Anolis sagrei: one gene and its partner. The protein of the gene in region 2 purifies or fractionates together with the protein of the main gene of each other region. This does not show direct contact. Links are inferred from orthologs where the notes say so. Each region holds a gene or a part of one and is shown on either strand. Other genes may lie near its edges.

Region 1 (7,814 bases), on a different chromosome or scaffold from region 2:
TGCTAAATTAGGCCCTAAAGGCAAAGGTAAAGGTTTTCCTTGACATTAAGTCTAGTCGGGTCCGACTCGGGTGATGCCCATCTCCATTTCTAAGCCAAAGAGTCGGCATTGTCTGTGGACACCTCCTAGGTCATGTGACCAGCATGACTGCAAGGAGCGCCGTTACTTTCCCGCCTATTGATCTACTCACATTTGCATGTTTTCAAACTGGTAAAATTAGGCCCTAGAGACAGAGAAATAAAATTTGAGCATATACATACATAATGAGCAATCATTGAAATGCAACCCAAATTTAGAGACAACATTCATATATGCCCACAATGGCCAAATCTACACTGCTATATAATGGATTTTTGAACTGCATTAGATGGTCAGTGTAGACCAGGCATGGGCAAGCTTTGGCCCTCCAGATGTTGTGGACTTCAGCTTCCTGCTTCTTGGCAGGGGGTTGGACTGGATGACCCATGAGGTCTCTTCCAACTCTTTGATTCTATGATTCCAGTTCCTAACAGCTGGTAGGAATTGTAGGAGTTGAAGTCCAAAACACCTGGAAAACCGAAGTTTGCCCATGCATGGTGTATACTCATATAATGAAGTTCAATGCACTTAAATTACATTATACCAGTGTACACCAGGAGTCCCCAAACTAAGGGCTGTGAGCTGGCTGAGGCCCTTCAAGGTTATTTACGTGCCCCCTGTCCTAAACTTTAGATGTAGACTAAGTCTAAAACTTAATCTTAAAACTTAGAATAAGTCTGAAAAGACTGGAAAGCACACAACAGCAATCCTGACTACCTCATCAGCAAAAGCAGGTCCACACTTCCCGTTGAAATATGGGTAAGTTCATGTTGGTTAAATTTGTTCTTCATTTTCGATATTGTATTGTTCTTTGACCTACAAGAAGCACTGGTTGAATATCAAGCAAAAAGTGGGAACTAGAAACAGTATCATACGACAGCTGACAGGCACAACCTGGGGATCGGCCCTTGTGCTTTTTTACTTTGCTGCTGAGTACTCATGCTCAGTGTGGAATACATCTCATCACGCTAAAACAGTGGATGTGGCTCTTAATGAGACATGCTGCATTATCACAGGATGTCTATGCCCTGCATCACTGGAGAAATTATACTGTTTAGCCAGTACTGCACCACCTTACATCTGCTGGGAAGGAGCAGCCAATAATGAAGGCAGTGACATCTCCGGCCCATCCTCTGTTTGGATATCAGCCAGCACACAAAGGCAATAATCAAGAAATAGTATTCTAAGATCTACAGAAATACTTGCAGGAACACCTCAGCAAGTGAGAGTCCAAAAGTGGCAGGCTAAAACCTGGAACCTTAAGCCATGGCTGATACTGAATGAGAGATTCCCTCCTGGGCACACAGAAGACTGGGCGACTTGGAAGGTGCTGAACAGCCTGTGCTCTGGCACCAACCTTAAGAAATGGGGCCACAAAATGGAGTCCACGACATGTGAGCAAGAAACTACAGACCACCTATTACAATGCAGTCTTAGCCCTGCCACATACACAATGAAGGACCTTCTTATAGCAACACCAGAGGCACTCCAAGTGGCCAGCTACTGGTCAAAGGAAATTTAATATAAAGCAAAGTTTTTAAACTTTGTGGGTTTTTTTAATATAAACACATTACAACTGTATCCCTGGTTTTCTCCTAATACAATAAATGAATAAATAAATAGTTATTTGATGGCTTTTTGCACTACAAATAAGATACATGCAGTGTGCACAGCAATTTATTCATTTTTTTTCAAACTATTGTCCAGCTCCCCAATAGTCTGGAGGACCATGATCTGACCCTCTGCATAAAAAGTTTGAGTACCCCTGATTTACACTGACCATAAATGTAACTTCAAATTGCATTATATGGCAGTGCAGATGGGTAATTTTACACATTTTTTCATGAAACTAAATTTGTGCAATAATAATAATTAATTTTATTTATTACCCACGAGAAAGCAGAAGTGTTACTATCTCAGTCAACCATGTGGACGATTTCGAATTTTGAACTGATTTGGATTTCCAGATCAGTTATGCCATAGTATCCACTTGATTTTGTCTCCAAAAATGTAATTTTTCTAAAATATTCTTATTTCCCTTTCCATAAAACAGTGTCAATTGATTAATAGGTGATACCACAATCTATAATGCTCTCTGGAATTATGCTCCTATTCTGAAAACTGCAAAATAGCTAGTGCTGAAAAGTTATATATACCTATATGTAGAAATTATGGTGTATATATAATATATACATTTTATATACATATGTGTATATGTATATGGCAGTCTCTGAGGATGTAACACGAGCACCTGCTTGTCCAGTTTTGATGGATTCATTTCAATTGGTGAAACCCGAGGATGTGGACAAGATACTTGGAGGAATGAGGCCAACCACATGCATCCTGGACCCCTGCCCATCCTGGCTTCTAAAGGAGGCCAGAAGGGGATTGGCTGAGTGGGTTAAGGTGGTGGTTAATGCTTCCCTTCAGGAAGGCAAGTTTCCAGCGAGCTTAAAACAAGCTATAATAAAACCGCTGTTGAAGAAACCATCACTGGACCCCACTAAATTCGACAACTATCGGCCAGTTTCCAATCTCCCCTTCTTGGGCAAAGTCTTGGAACGTGTGGTGGCCTCACAACTCCAGGTATTCTTGGTAGACACGGATTATCTAGACCCGGCACAGTCTGGCTTTAGGCCGGGACATGGTACCGAGACAGCCTTGGTCGCCTTAGTGGATGATCTGCGCCGGGAGCTCGACAGGGGGAGTGTGTCCCTGTTGGTGCTGCTCGACCTCTCAGCGGCCTTCGATACCGTCGACCACGGTATCCTTCTGGGACGCCTCGCAGGGATGGGTCTTGGAGGTACTGTTTTGCAGTGGCTCCGGTCATTCCTGGAGGGTCGATCTCAGAAGGTGTTGTTGGGGGACACCTGTTCAACCCCACAACCATTGTCTTGTGGGGTTCCTCAGGGCTCAATATTGTCTCCCATGTTGTTTAACATCTACATGAAGCCGCTGGGGGAGATCATCCGGAGTTTCGGGGTACGGTGTCATCTGTACGCGGATGATGTCCAACTCTGTCACTCCTTTCCACCTGCTACTAAGGAGGCTGTCCAGGTCCTGAACCGGTGCCTGGCCGCTGTGACGGTCTGGATGAGGGCGAACAAATTGAAATTGAATCCAGACAAGACAGAGGTACTCCTGGTCAGTCGCAAGGCCAAACAGGGCATAGGGTTACAGCCTGTGTTGGATGGGGCCACACTCCCCCTGAAGATGAAGGTTCGCAGCTTGGGAGTGATCCTGGACTCATCGCTGAGCCTGGAACCCCAGGTTTCGGCGGTGACCAGGGGAGCATTTGCACAGCTAAAGCTTGTGCGCCAGCTGCGCCCATACCTTGGGAAGTCTGACTTGGCCACGGTAGTCCACACTCTGGTTACATCCTGTTTAGACTACTGCAACGCTCTCTACGTGGGGTTGCCTTTGAAGACAACTCGGAAGCTCCAACTAGTCCAACGCTCGGCAGCCATGATTTTAACAGGAGCGGAGCGCAGGGAGCATACAACCCCCCTGTTGCGCCAACTCCACTGGCTACCGATCTGCTACCGGGCTGAATTCAAAGTGCTGGCGCTGGCCTTTAAAGCCCTAAACGGTTCCGGCCCAAGCTACCTATCTGACTGCATCTCTGCCTATGAACCCACCAGGAGTTTGAGATCTTCCGGGGAGACCCTGCTCTCGATCCCGCCTGCTTCTCAAGCTCGGCTGGCGGGGACGAGAGATAGGGCCTTTTCTGTGGTGGCCCCCCGGCTTTGGAACACCCTCCCCATAGAGGTACGATCAGCCCCTTCGCTGATGGTGTTTCGGAAAAGATTGAAGACATGGATGTTTAAACAAGCATTCGGTTAATCCGTTGTAACGAATTGTGATGACTAAGGATTGGTTATACACGGACGATGAATTTTGGATTACGATTCCAGTTATGAGATGCATAGGATTGTTATTGGTGGCCCAATAATTTGTACTGTATATGTGTTTTATGCTTTTAACTGAATATTGTTTTTTAAATGTTGTAAACCGCAATGAGTCGCCGATTTAGGCTGAGATATTAGCGGTATACAAGTGCATTAAATAAATAAATAAATAAATAAATACACACATATATACTCTGGATAATAAGTTTGAAGTAGAAGGAGAGATCTGTTTTACTTTTTGTGTCACCTGGTGAATAACTTCAGTTTCCTAAAACAACGTCGAGATCCTGCAACAATCCTCCCATTTCATCCCAGGAAAGCAAGCCCCTGAGTTTCTTGGAATTCTGCAGGAACACAGGACCCGCCCACAGGCGCCCTGCCAATCCGTTACGAAAGCGTTCCACGAGGCCAATGAAAATCAAGCAAGAGGATCAGGTCCCCGCCTTTCCCTTGCGTAGAGGCGGGCGTGCTCTGGCGTTGCGCATGCGCCGAGGCCTCCCAGGTCAGAGTTCTACGGCTAGGATCCGGAGGTGCTGTAAGAGCCTGCGTTAGAGGAGAGCATCAGCCGGGTGGAAGGCAGAGGCGATGGTGGAGACCAAGAGTGAGACCAAGCCCGGGAAGGAGCCATGGCGGGGTCGCTACCACACGCTGGAAGAGATCCAGAAGCACAACCATAGCCAGAGCACCTGGATCATCCTGCACAACCGCATCTATGACCTCACCAAGTTCCTAGAGGAGGCGAGTATATGAATATAAGGCAAGGGAGGGAAAGCATTGGCTAAAGGTTCAGAAGGAAAGGGTGGAATTTAACCTTGTATCTGCACTGTAGAATTAATGCAGTTTGACACCACTTTAACGTGGAATCATGGGAGATGTAGTTTTACAAGGTCTTTAGTCTCAGCAAACTAACCTAACATTACATTATACTAAGACTAGAGGTGCATCTGTACTGCAGAATTAATGCAGTTTGTCAATACTTTTAGCTCAGTGCCATGGAGGTATGGGGATTGTAGTTTCATAGGCTTTCTCTGCCAAAGAATGCTGGTGCCTCGCCTAACTACAACTCCCGTGATCGTATAGTCTTGGTGTCAAAATGCATTCATTCTCTCATATAGATCCACCTTGACACTTGGAGGATATATTGGTTCAGAGATCAAGAAGCAATTTCCCTTGACAACTTCTCTTCAGTATTGATTCTCAGACTTTATTTGCTTTATTAAAAGGTATGGTGCAGTGAACTTCTTGTACCTTGTTAGGCTTTTTGTAAAACTGAACACTGGCTTCAGTTATGGGTGTGTATATATATGTGTGTGTGTATGTATGTATAAAGGTAAAGGTTTACCCTGACATTAAGACCAGTCGTGTCCAACTCTGGGGTGTGGTGCTCATCTCTATTTCTAAGCTGAAGAGCCGGCATTGTCCGTAGACACCTCCAAGGTCACGTGGCCAGCATGACTGCATGGAGTACTGTTACCTTCCCACCTATTGATCTCACATTTGCATGTTTTCAAACTGCTAGGTTGGCAGAAGCTGGGGCTGACAGCGGAGGCTCACGCCGCTCTCCGGATTTGAACCTGCGACCTTTTGGTCAACAAGCTCAGTAGCTCAGTGGTGTAACCCACTGCACCACTGTGGGCTCCATATATATGCAGCATTTTGAATGTGCAGCTGTGTCTTACGACAGACTCTTAGAATGATCCAATGTGAACTTGTTTGACTTGGAAGAGCAAGATTGCAAAATTTTGTTGCAGAGCAAGCAAACCTTTGGTAATCAGATGATTACTGTTCCGTGCCTACCCAAGCAGCATGATCCCCTTATCAGTTGTTCAAGGATAAAGGGTTCATTACCATTGTCGTTTTTCCTAAGTATATTTAGTGTTCTCAGTGTGAGAAAATAATTAATTATTCTAAGTCAGAGGGCAGGGAATTGCTTTGTTGTTTTGAAACATCTTGTGCAGTCAAGGTGCTATATACAAATACACGATAATTATGATGATGATGAACTGTTCACATTATCATTCTGATTTATTGCATCGTCAGCAAACTAACTGAGGATGTTAACCGCCCTGAGTCCCTTTGGGGGGAGATGGTGGGTTATAAATAAAGTGTTATTATTACTACTACTATTGTTTGATACATAAGATCAGTACACAGCAAACAAGATCACTATGCTGGCTTTTGTACTTGATCACACTTCAGACACTTCTGACGTATCTAGGACTGTGTGATGTATTGGCGAATAATGTGTGCAGTTCGAATAGGGTGGCCTTTTGCAACGGACATAGGGTAATTTTGTCAGTGCTGGTTGTTTTTAAGTGCAGGTCAAGGTCTTTAGGCATTGCATCCAGTGTGCAGATCACCACTGGGTCCACCTTTACTGGCTTGTGCCAGAGTCTTCGCAGTTCGATCTTTAAATCATCATATTGTGCCAGCTTTTCCAGTTGTTTCTCTTCAATCCTGCTGTCGCCTGGGATTACAACATCGACAATCCATACTTTGTTTTTTAACACGATCGTGAGGTCAGGAATATTGTGCTCCAAAACTCTGTCAGTCTGAATTTAGAAGTCCCAGAGTATATGGGTATAACACAAGGGAGGGAAAGCATTGGCTAGTTTGACGTGTTCATTTTCTGTAACTTTTTCTGGCTTGTGATCCCACTAGTTCTTTGTCGCAGGCAAATGGTTTTTGTGGCACAAGTTCCAATGAGGCATCCAAGCAATGGTGTTAGGCCTCTGCTTGTAGTCTATCTGTGCGATCTTCTTGCAGCAGCTGAGGATGTGAACTATTGTTTCATCTGCTTCCTTGCAGAGTCTTCACTTGGGATCTGTCACCGACTTTTCAATTTTGGCTTTGATTACATTTGTTCTAATGGCTTGTTCTTGGGCTGCCAGAATCAGGCCCTCCATCTCCTTTTTCAGAGTCCCATTTGTGAGCCATAACCATGTTTTTCTTTGTCAATTTGGCTCTCAATTTTCCCCAGGAACTGTCCATGGAGAGCCTTCTTTTGCCACTTTTCTCTTCTGCTCTGCATTGTGTTTTTTACAGTATTCACTCTTTGTCTTTTGCACTTTAAGCAATTTACTACTATTGACTTCCCTCAATGTTGGTTCTTGACTATCTTTCACATAATCTGCCAGTGCATGTTTCTCTTCTTCTACTGTTTGTTTCACTTGCAGAAGCCCACTGCCTCCTGATTTTCTGGGCAGGTAAAGTTTGTTGACATCACTATGCGGGTGCAATGAGTAGTGGATTGTCATCAGTTTTCTTGTTTTTCTGTCCAGATCATCCAGCTCTGCTTGTGTCCACTTCACAATTCCAGCAGTGTATCTAAACATGGGGATGGCCCAGGTGGTGATAGCCTTGATTGTATTTCCATCATTTAATTTGCTCTTCAAAACCTTTCTGACTCTTTGGATATGTTCTTTGCTGACCACATTTTTCACATGCCCATGCATATATTATTATTATTCATTTTTCAAGGATAATATATATTGTAGTTAATAATACCTGGAGGGTAGCAGGTTGGAGAAGGGTGGTGATTAAATGGTTGATTCCTTAGGTCTTTGGGTAGGTTCCAAATGAGTTAATGCCAACCAAGCATAGTATCAAAGAACCTTAAAATGCTAATTAAAATGTAAAACTTATATCTAAGCATATAGAAATCTTAAGTCTATTAAGATACAACTTTTTGTGTGTCTTGAGGTCATTATTAATAAAAACATTCCAACTTATGGCAAACCTAAAATGATTCTACTATAATGGTTTCCACAAACGTACACAGTACAACCCCTTCAGTAGTTATTCTTTCTGCCCCCCACCCCAAGCTAT
Region 2 (8,571 bases):
CACTGTTATGCTGTTGTTGCTGCCACCTTAAATATATTGTATACTTTTTATTATTTTCTTTATTAACTGTCTGGGGAGGTTGTCTTGTCTTGACAGGCACAGAAATATACTTAAATAAACATAAGAAGCCTTCTTTTTCACAAGCTGCAGACTTTGTTGAATGGAGGCTGCTCAAGTATTTACATGAGCTCAGAGGAGAATGGAGATGATGCAAAAGCTCTGCAACCTCTTGTTGCACTATTCAAATATTTCACTGAAAACAAAAGCATTCTGAGGCCTGACAAAAGATTTGCAAAAAAAAGAGCGGCATGTTTATCTTTCTATGATTCACTTCCACACCCTACTTTCTAACAAACTTCACAAAAAAACATCACAAAGTCATTGCGAATCTAAACTAACAATCTCATGGAAGAGTTGTTAAAGCCAATGTGGGCGTATCCCACCTGGAACACAACTACAGTCAGTTCACCACATATACTAGGGTGAGGAGTATAGAGCCCATGTGAAAGTGGAAAACCACACACAGAAATTCCTAGACCTTCCAGCATGACTCTATGGCCAGCTTCCACTGGAAGTTGACCACAGAATTGCACTGAAGGACCTTTGGAAAAGGTGCTCTCTTTAGAAATTTTGAGGACCACCAGATAGGAAGTTGGCCATAGTCACACTGGAAGGCCTGGAGATTCCTAGGGTCCACATTTTTTATCAAGTCCATGAATAATCAAATCTGAAAAAGTTATGAGGAAACATGTATAGACCATGTGACACAATAGTTAGAGTAAGGCTTGGGAATATGTGGTTGAACTCCAATTCTTATCAATCCTAGCAAGGTTGACCAAAAGCGAAATACATGGTGTTTCAAAACGACAGACCCAATTTCAAAGCAATATATTTCACAATGGCAACATGTTACAACGACACAAAAAGTTACAAATGGTTTAATGACTTATCAGATTTCACTATTTTGAGCCACAAACACATCTAAAAAAATAACGCTGTAACTTGAGAATATCTAATTAGGCCTTACGTTGCAGGCCTGCCATCTTGTGAATGACTGAGTCTAGGGGCTGTTTGTGTGCCCCACCCTTACAAGGCAGTTCATAGTTGCAGATATATATAGCAAGTTCAAATCAGGTACATATTTTTGAAACACACTAGATTTTTAGTTGATTTGAAATGGCCCATCTAACCTCAGTTCAAAGCAGATATTGTGGATTATGTGCCTTGATTTTGGGGGGCCCTTCCACACAGCCCTATATCCCACAATATCATGGCAAGAAATGGAGCACCCGGAGATGCAGTGGGTTAAACCCCTGTGCCGGCAGGACTGAAGACCCACAGGTCGCAGGTTTGAATCCGGGGAGAGGCAGATGAGCTCCCTCTATCGACTCCAGCTCTTCATGCGGGGACATGAGAGAAGCCTCCCACAAGGATGATAAAAACATCAAATCATCCAGGCGTCCCCTGGGCAACATCCTTGCAGATAGCCAATTCTCTCACACCAGAAGTGACTTGCAGTTTCTCAAGTTGCTCCTGACATGACAAAAAAATGGCAAGAAATGCCACATTATCTGAGTGTGGACTCAGATATCCCAGTTCAAAGCAGATTTCTGCCTTAATATTCTGGGATACAGGGCTGTGTGGAAGGGTCCCGAGTGATATGGCTGTGTGGAACAGGGGTCCTCAAACTAAGGGCTGGGGGCCGGATATGGCCCTCCAAGGTCATTTACCTAGCCCTCGCTCAGGGTCAACCTAAGCTAGGTGTGAATGTTTCAGCTGACCACCTTCATTAGCATTTGAAGGCCTGGCTGAGCCTGGGAAAATGTTCTGTTGAGAGGTGTTAAGATGTGCCTGGTTGTTTCCTCTCTGCTGTTTTGCTGTTGTAATTTTAGAGTTTTTTAATACTGGTAGCCAGATTTTGTTCATTTTCATGGTCTCCTCCTTTCTGTTGAAATTGTCCACATGCTTGTGGACTTCAATTGCTAATGAAGGTGGTCAGCTGAAACATTCACACCTAGCTTCAGCAGAGAGCTCTTTGCCCCACCCCAGTCATTCCACAGATATATAAACCCATTTTCCTATTTCCAACAGACCTCACTACCTCTGAGGATGCTTGCCATAGATGCAGGCGAAACGTCAGGAGAAATGCCTCTAGAACATGGCCCTATAGCCCGAAAAAACCTACAAGAACCTAATTATTGTATTGTTTTAAAGTGTTTTTTGCACTACAAATAAGATATTTTTCAAATTTTTCAAATTATAATCCATCCCTCCAACAGTTTGAGGGGCTATGACCTGGCCCTCTGTTAAAAAGTTTGAGGACCCCTGGTGTGGAAGTACCTAAACTATCTCTCAAAGAGAGAAAAATGGGGGAGGGGGGTAAAATGTGGAGAAAGGAAGAACTGTTTACGCTCCTCTTCAAGTTCCTCTGATAAAAGCTGAGATATCAGTGTAATAAATCAAGCACATGGTGATGAAGACAAACGTAACAAGCACTGAATACCTGCACTCAAACGCATATAGAAATTAGCTCTTCGCTCCACAGAGAGTGTCAGTGAGTGCCCCTGATTAAACTGCAAACTCCAGAGCTCCATGGGGTGTAACCATGGCAGCTAAAATAGAATCATACTGCTATAGCTGTGTGGTGTGACTGGCCCCCAGGGCAGTTAATGGAGTCTGTGGTTTTTGAGAACCAGAGAGGAATTGCGGAGGCTGCTGAACAGGTTGATTCACATCTCTTCCCCCAAGGCCCCGCCTCTGGATCTGCTGGCCCTCTCCATGTTCTCCAATTCCTTGCATTGAACGGCCATGGTTTTCTTTCTTCTTCAAGGCGCCTGGACTCTGCAGAGTTGGAAAACAGAGCAAGGAAAAGACGACACAGGGAAGCAGGCCAGCCCCACACCCAGGGAGGGATGTGGGGCCAGAATAGTTGCACACCATGAAGCTCTGGATGGAGGAGACAGTAAGGATTAATAGGACACACCAGCATGACACAGGAAGTAGGGCAGCTTCCAATGGGGAGGCACCACAGTAAGAAACCAAAACACAGAGGGATAGAAAGTGGGACATGAATGCACTCCAAAAGTGGGGTGGGCAAATTGGTAGGTCCTACTTCCTTCCATAGGGTTATTATTAAGGAATCTCAGTCCTCTTTCCTAGTCAAGGAAGGAGGCCTTTCTCAGCCCGCAGGGAAGCACAGCGACACCCATTACATACCACACTGGCTGCCAGGCCACACTGCCTCCCAGTTGCACAGCTGCCTCAGCCACGACCGGAAACAGGAGCAAGATTAGAGGGGAGGAAGAGGAAGCCAAAAGGTGGGCGGTGCCCTTGGAAGAGTCTCCCCGCCGCCCAATGGGAAGCAGCCCTTCCGCAGCCTGGGGCGGGAAAAGCCTCCAGACAGGCAGCTGCAGGGAAGGCGGAAGTGGTGCCGCGATTGGTGGCGGTGCCTGTCACTCAAACACAGGGTGGGAGGGGAGAGAAGAGGGAGCATTCATAGGAGTTCCTTCCCCCCTTACTCTAGACACAAACTTTTATATCCTACAGTATATGCATTTTTGAGAAAAACTGAGGGCCCTTCTAGACAGGCCCTACATCCCAGGATCTGATCCCAGGTTTTCTGTTAATCCCAGATTATCTGACAGTGCAGACTCATATAATCCAGTTTAAAGCAGAAAAAAGCGGTTGCTCAACTCTGAACTCAAGAACGAAAAAGGGAATGTTGGTGAGCAGGAAAAGAGATTTAAAGATGGGCTCAAAGCCAACCTTAAAATCTCTGGAATAGATACTGAGAACTGGGAAGCCCTGGCCCTTGAGTGAGGTCAGTTGTGACCAGCAGTGCTGGAGAATTTGAAGAGGCACGAGTAGAGGGCAAAAGAGAGAAGCGTGCCAAGAAGAAGGTACATCAAACTAACCCTGACCAGGATCACCTTCCACCTGAAAACCGATGCCCTCACTGTGGGAGAACATGCATGTCATGAATAGGGCTCCACAGTCACCTACGGACCCAAGGCCAGTACACTGACCTTGGAGGACAGTCTTACTCGGGCAACGAGAGATTGCCTAAACCAGCTAAATCAGAAAACTTGGAATCAGATCCTGGTATATAGGGCCTGTCTGGAAGGGTCATGAGATAAAACAGTTGGTAGCATAAGATCTTCTAGGCCAGGGGTTCTCAAACTTTTGTCCAGGGTGGTACAAAGGACTCTTGTCTGCTGGAGCTAGGTGTGAATGTTTCAACTGATCACCTTGATTAGCATATAATGGCCTGACTGTGCCTGGAGCAAACTTTTGTTGAGAGGTGATTAGATGTCCTTGTTTGTTTCCTCTCTGTTGTTGTGTTGTTGTAATTTTAGAGTTTTTTTAGTACTGGTAGCCAGATTTTGTTCATTTTCATGGTTTCCTCCTTTCTGTTGAAGTTGCCCACATGCTTGGGTATTTCAATGGCTTCTCTGTGTAGTCTGACATGGTGGTTGTGAGAGTGGTCCAGCATTTCTGTGTTCTCAAATAATATGATGTACCCAGGCTGGTTCATCAGGTGCTCTGCAAATCTTCTGTTACAGAGTAGGGTGACTAAAATGTTAAAATGTCAAAAACTGTGACACATGCCTTAGGGAGCTGCGTTTGTTTACTTGGAGTAGGGAAGACTGAGAGGTGGCATGATAGCGATTTTCAAACATTTGAAAGAATATAATTTAGAAGAGGGAGTGTGCCTGTTTTCTGTTGCTCCAGATGCTAGGATAAGAAACAATAAATTGAAAGAGAGATGCTGCGTAAACATTAGGAAGAATTTTTGATGGTAGAAGCTGATTGACAGTAGAATGTCCTGGATGCACGGTATCAAAGTACTATTATTGTGTAGCATGAAAGGTGTAGTGGTATGTTGTAATGGTGTGCCTTGAAACCCTATAATAGGGTTTTCTGGGGCTGAGAGTATGTGACTTACCCAATGTCATCAAGTGGTTTCCTTGGGCAAGCAGAGGATCCGATCCCAGTCTTTAGAGTTGCAGTCCAATGATCAAACATTACAATCATTGATTCGTATACAGAACAATAAAGAACTCAAATACTGCCAACCAATTTCAGTATCATTACACCAGGCTAGACTTCTTCCTGTCCATCTAGCCTAGTATCATCTGCTTCTATCCCAAGTGGTAGCAGTTATTGGTGAGTTGAGTGGTACTTTGCCCAACATGTGTACTTCTACTTGCTAGAGAACCCAGGAACCATCAGCATCATATCTGGAAAGATCTTTAGTATCAATGGATGTTCTGACCTAGCAAATTGATGTTCTGACCATACAAGAACAGTCTGTTAAATTCACTTTAATTAATGGATTGTGACATCTTTGGCCCTCAAGATGCTTTTGGACTACACCTGCCAAAATCCTCAACCCATAATCCGGCTTTGCTGGCTGGTTCTCCAGGCTTGTGTGATGAAATTGTTCACTTAAACTCATGGTGAAACAGAAACCTGTGAGCATGTTTCCAATCAATGTGACACTATGGTTATATTGGACTCCTTTAATCAATGTGATGCATTATAACAATGGGTTGGTTACCATGTAGGATTGCCATAAAGACAGTGTCTCTTATCTTGGATATACATAGACCAATAGAGAGACTCCTTGGTGTCCCATGGGATTTGGTTCACCTGTAGATACCAAAATCCATGGATGCTCAAGTTCCATTATATACAAGTAATATGATAAAATAGTGTCCCTCATATGGCATATGAGGGACACTATTTTATCATATGATAAAATAGTGTCCCTATTTTATAATATGATAAAATAGTGTCCCTCATATGGATAAAATAGTGTCCCTCATATAATCCGCCCTGTCCCCGTGGGTGAGAAGGGCGGACTATAAATACTGCAAATAAATATTGGTAAATAAATGAATAAAATGGTAAAATCAAGATTTGCTTCTTGGATTATAAAAAATATTTTCAAGCCATAGATTGTTGAATCCGTTGATGAAAAATCCATGAATATGGAGGGCTGACTGTATATTTTATGTGGATATTAATGTTTTGTGATATTTTAAAAATAATTGCCATCTCAGTTTGTTCTCCCAATGAATTTGGAACTAAAGAGTCTGAGCTAAATTGCAGAGTAAATGTTCAATTCATACCCATTTACCTGGGAGTGAGTTCCCAAGATCCAATGCTCTACTTACATTTTACTAGACCTGACAGGATTGCCCTGTGACGGCCCTTCTACACTACATATAAAATCCAGATTCTGCTTTGAACTGGATTATATGGCAGCATACACTCATATAATCCCGTTCAAAGCAGATAATGTGGATTATCTGTTTTGATAATCGGGATTATATGGCAATGTAGAAGGGGCCTAAATCACATGTCCTTTTCTCATCTATAGAGAAGAGAATGTTGGCTGTGGTCTGGATGTGTTGAATGTTTTTTTTTAAATGATTTGCAATGATTCTCTAATGAGTACTTCCTTCCTTGAAGGCTTTTAAACAGAGGCTGGGGCCCCTTCTACATTGCAATATACAATTCAGATTATCTGTTTTGAACTGGATTATATGGCAGTGTAGACTCATATAATCCAGTGCAAAGTAGATAATGTATATTATGTGATTTTATGATCTGGATTATATGGCTGTGTAGGAGGGGCCTGGGTGGCCACCCATTGAGGGTGCTTTGTGCTTTTCCCACATGGCAGAGAGTTGGACTAGATGGTTCACATGGTCTCTTCCAAATCTATTATTCTACTAGCTTGGATACCCGGTGGTGCCTGAGTTATTTGAAAAAGGCCTTGTTTGTTTTGGGGTGTTAGGTAATATCATTTAGTTAATTATTAGAAAGAATAGATTTCATTTTTTATGAATACTCCCATTAGAAAATACATAATTAAAGTCACGACAGAGTTATATACAGCATAGTAAAATAACAGTACTCATATTGGGAAACGAAAAGATCAAAGAACAGAACTGCATCATCTCACTACCTCTGAGGATGCTTGCCATAGATGCAGGTGAAACGTCAGGAGAGAATGCCTCTAGACCATGGCCATACAGCCCGAAAAAACCTACAACAACCCAGTGATTCCAGCCATTAAAGCCTTCGACAATACATAGAACTGCATAAGCTTAAATGTCCCCCCACACTTTTTTTTATATATACCCTGAAAAAAACTTAATAAAAGTTTATTTTTTTAAAAAGATTTCTTTTTTCAACAGAAACTTTATTGTGGCAACCAGGAGAAAAGAAGCTCCGTTTGTCTATCAATAAATGTTGTTTTAATTTCATGAAAAAATACATAACGATGTGGGTGAACTATAACCTGTTTGTGGAGGCCAGAGGCTGTCTGTGTAAGTGGACACCTCCGCCACATACACATTTTTCAATTTTATTATGTGTATAAATAAATGAGTATCTGATTCCCAAAAAGATAAATGCCTGTTTTTGCTTCTACCTCCACTTTAATCCAAAAGTTTATGCACAAGCTCATGTGACCAGCTGTGATTTCTACTCTTCTTAGAAGAGGGCTCAAAAAATGGGGAAAGGCACCTTGGCTACTAGAATAATGAAGAAATCTAGTCTGAAAACAAAAGGTTTTCATTCGCAGTTTACTTATTCTATAAATTGATTTAATAGTGCCACTGTCTACAACGCACATTGCAACATTAAAAAGCCAGAAAGACCAGTATCCACTAATAGCAGTGATGCAAATGTATCTAAACATATAGACATTCAAGTGATAATAACTATTTATTTATTTGACCAGTCATATGACCATTTCAAAATACAACATGGGTAAAAGACAAGGCAAAAAAGTAAAGGACAGAAGCTGACCTTCTATTTACAGTCAGAATCTTATTTTCCTGGTTCTTCTTTCAGGAAATCTGCTCTTTTCTTAATAGCTTTCAGAATAAAAAGGCTTACTCTGATTATGCTGGATCTTTCCTGTCCTTGCAAGAGGAATGCCATTTCTGTTGGAGGACCTGCAGTTGGATAATATCGGGTGTAACTATCTGTATCGCAGTTCAGTATATGCTGGACAATCAATTAAGAAATGTTCAATATCTTCCACAGTTTGTTCTCCCCATAAGCAGAATCGTTCACTTCTTGGGATGTTACGGTAACACCCGGTTTGCATCTTAATACTGAGTTTTCAAACCTAGCTCTACTATATATTCTTCCTAAGGGTAGCGGTAGTGGAATAGTCAGATAGTGTTCTAAATGAATATTCCTTTTGTGGGAAGCTAAGAATCTTGTGGCAGAAGACCTACCTATGCTTGCTAGATCCAACTGAGCATAGATATCTCAAGAGCACTTGCTTTCCCTTAGGTCAGTGTTTCTCAACCTGGGGGTTGGGACCCCTGGGGGGGGGGTCGCAAGGGGGTGTCAGAGGTGTCACCAAAGACCATCAGGAAACAGTATTTTCTGTTGGTTATGATAGTTCTGTGTGCTAAGTTTGGTTCAATTCCATCATTGGTGGAGTTCAGAATGCTCTTTGATTGAATCTGAACTATAAATCCCAGGAACTACAACTCCCAAATGTCAAGATCTAGTTTTCCCAAACTCCACCAGTTGATCACA

The links. Proteins that work in one complex are often made in the same cells at the same time.
Region 1: the proteins of BCAP31 (region 2) and CYB5A purify together in Homo sapiens (co-immunoprecipitation; 4 studies listed by BioGRID and IntAct, with this or other methods). This does not show direct contact. The link is inferred for Anolis sagrei from reciprocal best matches to the Homo sapiens genes BCAP31 and CYB5A.

What each region holds. Positions count from the first base shown.
Region 1 is NC_090024.1:72,518,988-72,526,801, reverse strand, and holds the start of CYB5A (cytochrome b5), read left to right. Parts: upstream 1-4,460; 5' UTR 4,461-4,571; coding exon 4,572-4,724; intron 4,725-7,814.
Region 2 is NC_090022.1:177,894,544-177,903,114, forward strand, and holds the start of BCAP31 (B-cell receptor-associated protein 31), read right to left. Parts: upstream 3,329-8,571; 5' UTR 3,234-3,328; exon of another isoform or gene 3,217-3,233; intron 1-3,216. UniProt on the Homo sapiens protein: Functions as a chaperone protein. Is one of the most abundant endoplasmic reticulum (ER) proteins.